Linked DNA regions of Xenopus tropicalis. The protein of the gene in region 2 purifies or fractionates together with the protein of the main gene of each other region. This does not show direct contact. Links are inferred from orthologs where the notes say so. Each region holds a gene or a part of one and is shown on either strand. Other genes may lie near its edges.

Evidence for each region. Proteins that work in one complex are often made in the same cells at the same time.
Region 1: the proteins of psmd9 (region 2) and psmd13 fractionate together in Homo sapiens (co-fractionation; 3 studies listed by BioGRID and IntAct, with this or other methods). This does not show direct contact. The link is inferred for Xenopus tropicalis from reciprocal best matches to the Homo sapiens genes PSMD9 and PSMD13.

Annotation. Positions count from the first base shown.
Region 1 is NC_030680.2:23,987,161-23,990,819, forward strand, and holds part of psmd13 (26S proteasome non-ATPase regulatory subunit 13), read right to left. Parts: intron 2,662-3,659; coding exon 2,618-2,661; intron 2,480-2,617; coding exon 2,393-2,479; intron 948-2,392; coding exon 776-947; intron 578-775; coding exon 498-577; intron 265-497; coding exon 139-264; intron 1-138.
Region 2 is NC_030677.2:162,105,519-162,109,908, forward strand, and holds the start of psmd9 (26S proteasome non-ATPase regulatory subunit 9), read right to left. Parts: upstream 2,870-4,390; 5' UTR 2,832-2,869; coding exon 2,712-2,831; intron 2,345-2,711; coding exon 2,242-2,344; intron 1,967-2,241; coding exon 1,773-1,966; intron 1-1,772. UniProt on the Homo sapiens protein: Acts as a chaperone during the assembly of the 26S proteasome, specifically of the base subcomplex of the PA700/19S regulatory complex (RC).

The DNA of each region.
Region 1 (3,659 bases), on a different chromosome or scaffold from region 2:
GCTGGTGAGCTTTTTTTACTGATTGGCTCAATCACTATTATTTTACTTGCCCTTTAGTAGATTAAAGTGTCTCAGGACTAGTAAGTGGATATAAATGGAGGGAAAAAATAGCGGTCTTCCTCTTTTCAGGAAAAATACCTGTTGTCCCCAAGCAGTTTTCAGCCCACGGAATGTCTCCACATTGCCACTATTGAAGGCGTAAAGAGTGTCTATTAGCCACTGCCGGTCAGAGTTGCGCAAAGATTCCAGGATTGGATGCATCAGCTAGGACATAAAAAGGTTTAATCTTGAACCCTTTGTCTATACCACAAAATCTGTAACCTAAACAATATCTACGTTCTTGTGGTAGACATAATCTAAATCAGCTTATAACGATATATTGTACTATATATGCATAAAACAAATACAGGTATATAGTTTATATACTTTATGCAGCAAATATAAATCTTGAGCCAAATCAAAAGCTATAATGTTGCTTTAAGAAATAGGTGATTTACCAGTTCTCCAAAGTTGTAGACTCCATCTCCCAACAGACCTGCCAGCCCTAGGGTAAAGGCTCTGTCTTGCTGTTCTGACACTTAAAGGAAATAGCAGAAGGTGACATTTAGAAGTCACTTGGAATTATTAAAGCAATTACACATGGGTAGTTTTGGGCAACAAAACAAACAAAATGCTGTGCCATTGCAGGCAATGTAAATAATTTTAGTCATTTTATTACCCATGGTTAAGCTTTCTCATTCTTATTATTAAAAATGAGTGCCTATATGTATCTTACCAGAAAGTTCTTTGTGGTCTGTGCAACCTAGAAAGCGCAATGCATCTTTGTAGTAAGAGGCGTGATTGCCAATGGTCTGATAATACTTGCTGGAAAGGTCATAGAAACGGCTGTGCACAGAGGTTACACCAGCGAGTCCGCCCAACATCTCTTCCACTGCCTCAATAGTTTCCTGAGGATGACAAGATGAGAATAAGGGCCCTTCAGCCATACAATAACTGTGCTAAAAGGGAGTATAACTAGAAAACCTACGCCAGTGTCACCATATATGACATGCTTAATGGTCAGGATAATAAAGGTTTTGTTTTGAGCACACCGTAAATAACTAGGTTAAAAATGACAAGAGACACTAAAACCAAGGAAAAATTTAGAGGTGAGTTAGCAAGTAATAGTCAGCGTCTCCACAGATTACGGTCATTATGTACTTATGTCGGAACAGAAGCCAGTGCTCTACAGTGCACTGCCCCCAACAAAACTCTCCATGGCCTAGGATGGAAGCAGAATATTTAATCACTGGCAATTAAAAGGTGGAAGCTCACATTTAAAATAAATACAATGTCTTGAATATCCCACTGCATGCCCAATTATCACATTTCTTTTGCAGAAAATTACCTAAGCTAAAGTTAAGCTCTTTTCCTGCCACACTGCTAAGCTACAATTGCTGTATGCCATCAACTGAGCAGCAGAGCAGGGACTGGGCAGGCTGTAAGATACAGCCATAAATAAAAGTATGCATAAGCAAGTTAAAATGTTTTAGGTAGTCTTCTACTGCACTGCTAAGCTATCCAGATACCTTGTATAGCACCACCAGGGGAGCTGCAAAAAAACTGGGCAAAAATGTACTGGGGGATGTTGGGGCGCAAGAGAAACTGAAGGGGGTGAGAGTCATTAGAGAAGAAAATTAAGCACAGGAAAGAGCATGAACTGGTTAGAGCAGAACGGGAGAAAAAGAAACAAGAGAAGGGGTGAAATGGGCAAAAGGGGTGAGATTAAGAGGATAAAAATGATCAAGAAAGTTTCAGAGATGCAATAAGGGTAAAAAGGTAGAGAAACACATAAGAGCAGAAAGGATGGAACAATGAGAAAGTGAGGGAAGGAATGATAGGAACAGCAAAGGTAAAAAAGAGGGTATAAAGAACATAATAAAAGAAGGGAATGAATTAGGCTGATCATACTACCATGCCTATATATGTGGGGGTGACTACACAGAAATGTTTTGAGGTACAGCAGGGGCTGAAATATTGATGTGCAGCCTAAAGTGACGTGGATACAGAAAAAACGGAAACATTTAAAACAGGGTATGTAAAATTGAGGTTTCACTGTATCTAGGATATTGGACGGCACCGCTGTCAAAGCTGAGGGATCATTGAAACGTAATGAGGAGTTTTCCTTTCTCATTCTGTAAGGGGAAATTCATAGAATCATAATGGAAGAAGGTTTTTAATACCGAGGGAGAATGCAACAGGAAGCTTTGCTTCCCCTCCCTCCCCTATGCAAGTCACCCCCTACTTGTTGCTTGCTTATACTGTTATGCTCTTTGATTGTGCAGTCCTACTTATAGACCATCTAGTACCTTCAAAAACCACATAATGCACCTTTGTGCATTTTTATACGCACCTTTGTGGCCTGCAGCTCCCCAATGTTGAGTTTCAGGGCTCCGATGGCTGTCCTGCACAGTATTACTGCTTCATCGCTGCTTTTGACCTACAACCATTAAAGCAGACAGATCATGGCTTTGGCAAGAAATCAGTCTCCATACCTATTATAAATATATCATTAAATAATGTAAACCAATTTACAGCTGAAGGACATACAAGATCATTATTAAAAATAATCACAAACCTTCTCGCGAGTTTTCTCCAGGAAGTTCAGAGCTACTGAGGGATCTACATGGAAGAGACATTTCTTACATAAGCTATAGATTTAGGAGGAGCAATATAAGCATTTTTTCATCAATGATTTAACAAATACAGCTTGTGTTGAACAAAGATGTTGCCTCATTTAATGAGAAATATCTATGGTTTTTGTTGTTTCTTGCACTAAACAGGGCAAAATGTTATACTGAAACTAAAGCCACATTCTACGTCCTGAACCCTACAAGCACAATCAAAACAAATCAGCTTGGAAAATAGAAGAAATTTCAATTATCTAAGCTTCTACAGATTTGTTTTGATTGTGCTTCTACAAGTCAAGAAGTAGAATGTGACTTTAGGATAGGGCTTAGTTCCATTTTTTACTTTTACTAAAAGGGACCTAAGTATCTATAAATGCTACATGTGGGGGGGGTGGAAGCCATTCAAATTGAAATAAGGCTAAATGGCACAGGTTATATAGCAAATAACAGATAAACTCTGTAGAATACAATGGTGTTTTACAGAGCCTATTTGTTATCAGCTATGTAACTTGTGCCTATTCTCCTTTTTACCAGCTTGATTGGCTACCCATGTGGCTATACAGCAGCTTATTCACATAAACTATAGCAGTCTTTATGCAGCAAATGCAAACCTTTAACCAGAGAAGGACAGCAGTATTTTATATTTTAACTACTCAAACATTTTATTATTTTTGGTGCTGTTCCTTTAACAGAATACAACATTTGCTGGAAAATATAAAATACTAAAAATAAAAGCCTATTTTGCCAGTTGATTGAAAAGTAAATGGAATTATTGAGTTGATGGAATGCCATTTATGGCGAAGACACACAGCACTCAGTAGTCGTGACTAATCATGGCGTTTAGCTGCCCTATATTAACATTGTACATGCAAGTTACATTTCAGCTCAGAGGTTTATAGTTTATTCCTGAACTGCTCCTTTCATTTTGCATACATACAATTGCAAACTGGACTGCAATACTCCAGCCTCATGCCTATGATTAAGTGTATA
Region 2 (4,390 bases):
TGTGTGGCCACCTTTAGCCTGTGGATAAACACAGCCTGAGAATTAGCCACTACGCTGACATCACTCTTTCCCTGTGTCTATACCTGAGGCCATTGTGTTGACCTGGGTGCAGGCACATGGAGCAGATTTTGGCCCAAAAACACACAAGTTTGCATTTCAGAGCCCAAATTCTTGGCCTGCGTTTATCCACAGGCTGAGAATCAGTCCTGTGTGGCATCAGCCTAAGGACTAAAGCTACCCAAGCATAGGCCAATAAAAGGTGCTGGCGCAGACCTTCCACAATGGTGTCTGCCAGGCGGCCTACTGATTAATATCTGGGAAAAAATTGATCAGGTTTTAAAATAAAGTTGGGCAAGGACCGCAGTAGTGTGTTAATACAGACCTCTTATGCTGGATCTCCATAGAGCCTGGTGCCAAATGACCAGCCTAATCAGCCTAATTTGGTCCCTCGCCTTACAAGCGTATCTATCAGCCTATGGCCAGCTTAAGACCGCACTTTGTTTTCATTTCAGGTTTCGATAAGAATCCCTTGGCTGTTATTATACAGAGAACAGTGCACACCCTATTGTAAATTTTAAGTTGCAGAGGAGTTCTATAATCATAAAATGTGTCATGTGACACACATTACATCACTAAGCAATAATATCACTAATATCACTAAGCTAATATACTGTATATGTGATGACATTACAACCACAATATTCAGGGCTCTTTTATATATAAATTATTTATGTGGTAAAAATACAGACCATTGTTACTTCTCCACCAAAGTTAAAAATATGCATTAACCATTCATAAAGGTAGCATTTTCCTGGGACAGCAAAATTACACTTGTCTGACTGCCAGATAGTGAAGCACATTTCATCACTGTTAGTGATCTTTATATGACTCCAGCAACATGCATACTGATCTTAGAGTTCTACGCAGCTGCTTGCCCATAAAAATGATTGATGTTTCATCAAAAAAATGTGAAACTTTACAGAGTCTTTTTAGTTGGGTTGTCAAGATACTTTAGCCTATGCATTGTGTCCAAATGCTTTTCATCATATAGTGTACTGTAAAGCTGGCCACACACATGGCGATTTTCGATCTTTCCAACCCTCAGGGCCGAATCGTCAGATATGGAGGTAGAAACAATAGGATTTCTACCTCCTTCTGTCGATTCAGCCCTGAAGGCAGATTTTGCTCAGGTGCCTTCAATGGCGCCCGATCAAAATCTTTTAACCCGCAGCCTTCTGCGATATCGGTCGCCTCGCCGAGTTGCCACACACGCACCGAATATCGCAAGAAACGAGGTTTTGTACGATATTATCGGTGCGTGTATGGCCAGCTTTATTAGCGTCTGACCAGAGATGTGTACATCAGACAGGTCTATAACAGACAATTTACACAGTGTTTAAGTTACTTAAAAGAAGGCAGATTATGAAGAAACTTGATTTGTTATGTAGATTTGAAAGTGATCCTGTGATGTGTGGACAAATATTTCTACAGAGTACAATATGGATTGTGGCTATTGTGGCCATGCAACTAGCTGTAACTATACAAGTGAATTTAGAAAGCGCCAATAAAAAAGAGCCAAGAAATCAACTAGGTGCTTTGGGGACCTGTCTTATTAATATGAACTGCATATAGTTCATTACAATACATAGATAAAAAGGTACATCTAAAATTAAATCTGTAGGTAAAATGATATGGTATATATTGGACTATAAAAGGTGGTAACTACACAACAATGATGTTTGTCTCATCAGTACAGCATAACAACTACTTACTGACATGCTGGCAGGAGAGCCTGGGGTAACAACATCTACTTTAGCAAAAGCAGTAGGCAGTGCTTGGTGACTCTGTAGTGCTTCAGCCTGGGCCTCTGCTTCATCCTTCTCACGTTTCTCTTTCTCTCGTGCATGTAGTCTATGTAGAGATTCCTCTATCTCTTTCATAATGGCTTTATGATCATTCTGCAAACCTGGAGGCAGTATATGTTAGTAAACCCAGTTTCACATTAATATGATACTTATGGAATAGATATAATTATACAGATTTCTCACCATTTAACCACACCGTATGGATAAATAACTGAATTTGCAACTCATGTAAAAAGGTACACTTTCAAGTGAAAGTTCTGCTCAGTTCAACTGCCTTCAAAAATTTACAAAATCAATATACTGTATATGCCAAAGCTTTACATTGCTTTGGTATGAGAAACCCTCCTCTATAAAATTCTAATATTGAAGATCTTACAGATGATATTATGTCTTGCAGTGCGAACTTGGTAAATATCCACATCTGCTCTAGGGTATCCTTCTCTGTCAACCAGTGGTTCGTCCATGCCGACTGCTTTTTGCTAAAAAAAATAAAAGATTTCAGTTATTATTTTAGTGGAAGCCAGTCCTGTCAGGTTTCCCGCTGACTACTGAACACTATAAAAAACTACAAACAATATAGCAGAGATTGAAACTAAAAACTACTAGTTGATTGGGCCCCACTACCAAAAATAAGAGAATCAGAGGCAAAAATAATAAACAAAGCTGAAAAGAGGCAGAAATGGATATGCCCCTGTGCGGGTCAATGAATATTATAACATAATATAAAATGACTATTTCATAATGCTTTGTAATCTTGTGTTTATTGGTATTGCTGTGAGCATGTGTAAGCAGTGAGGGCATAATGTTTATGACACAGCCATTCCCTGGGCTAAAGAAGCAACTTACATCTTGCAGAAGGTCATATAAAGCCTTTATCTGGGCTTCGATCTCATCCTTCTTGCTGATCAAAAGCTCCACGTCGTGCATAGTAACCTCTGATCCACAGGGATCCGCAGCTTCCGACATCACTTTGGCAAACTACAGAGACGCACCACAACTACCGACAGCCGCGCAGAACTACATCTACGGGTACCTACGAGGAATAAATCTTACAAAACGCAAAGTAGATTTTCCGCGGTGAACTAATAGAATGTAATTCTGAATTAAAATAATTGTAAATAGTGTTTATGTAAGAAGTGCTAAGGCGATTGACTTTGTTGCGCATTTAGGACGTGGTCATTTGTAAGCAATTGGGTTAAACTACTTGTTACTCTTTATGTTATTGTGCTCAAAAAACACAAAACACGCAGTTTGTAGATTTCACATCTTTTGGGGTATTACAAGAATGATGTCTAACAATAACTTGTTTGTAAAAGTGAACACATCATTTTGCAGCTGCTGGTATCCCCTTGTGCCAGACGTTGTAGTTTCTGACCACGCCCAAATACGCCTACATGCTGTCCTACCCTTTCCTCAGACCTTCCTCCACGGTTTTTGTAAACATAGTGTAGCACAGACCCTGCTATTTGTTGGGAACCCAGAACTAATAAGAATCCCATGAGGGCCACTGACTGATTAATAGTTTCAATATATGTTTATGATAGATGTTTTATTTCCCAAAATGTAGGGGGCCCAAAAATAGTTTTGTTGTGGGGCCCAATAACTATACTAGTTATGCCACACTTCATTAATCTTTCATTATGATCAGAGCTCATATTATTTTAAATAATGATATGAAAACTTCCCCAATACCCAGAAGTGACGTTAGCGCATGTGCACGCGCTCCCAGAAATGGCGTCATGTGCATGCACAAATACCATGTTGAAGCCGAAAAATGTTCCGCTGAAAGCAGTTCTAATGTGTAGCGCTGGCTCCTTCTGAAAGCTCAGACTCAGGCACAATGCACTGAGATGGCCGCCTTCACACCAATATTACAACTTAAAAAATACATTTGTTGGTTCAATAATAAAATTTAATGGTAGAGTGAATTATTTGCTATGTAAACAGTGTAATTTAGAAATAAAAAGTACACCATAAAAATCATGATAGTATCCTTTGAAAGGACATAACCCAAAAAATAATTTTTTGCCTAATAAAACAAGGCATCATTTTGAGCAACTTTCCAATATGAATTTATTAAAACCATTAGTTCTTCTAAAGTTATTTGTAAATGTAATTGCTATTGAAAGCAGCATTTGCTGAACTCCTGGTTATGATTTTTTAAACAATGTTACAAAAGCCAGTCTCCTCCAGCAAGTCAGGTCTGTCAATCCGGTGCCTTGTGTTACATTGTTTCAAACGCCAGTGCCACCAGGGCAGGGAACAGAAAAGGACAAAACTGCTTTTAACAGAAATTATATATACTAGTAACTTAAAAACCATTACAAAATTTTAATTAATGTATATTGCAAAGTTAATTAGAATTATGGAATTATATTTTCTTTTATTAGGCAAAAACATTGTTTGGGTTGACATGTCCTTTAATCTCCACTTAATAAAACTCAAGACATCAGCAAGTGTTGCTCACTGTTATCATTTTAAATCACATAATATTTGTACATCACCTAAAGAAAGAACCATTTTCT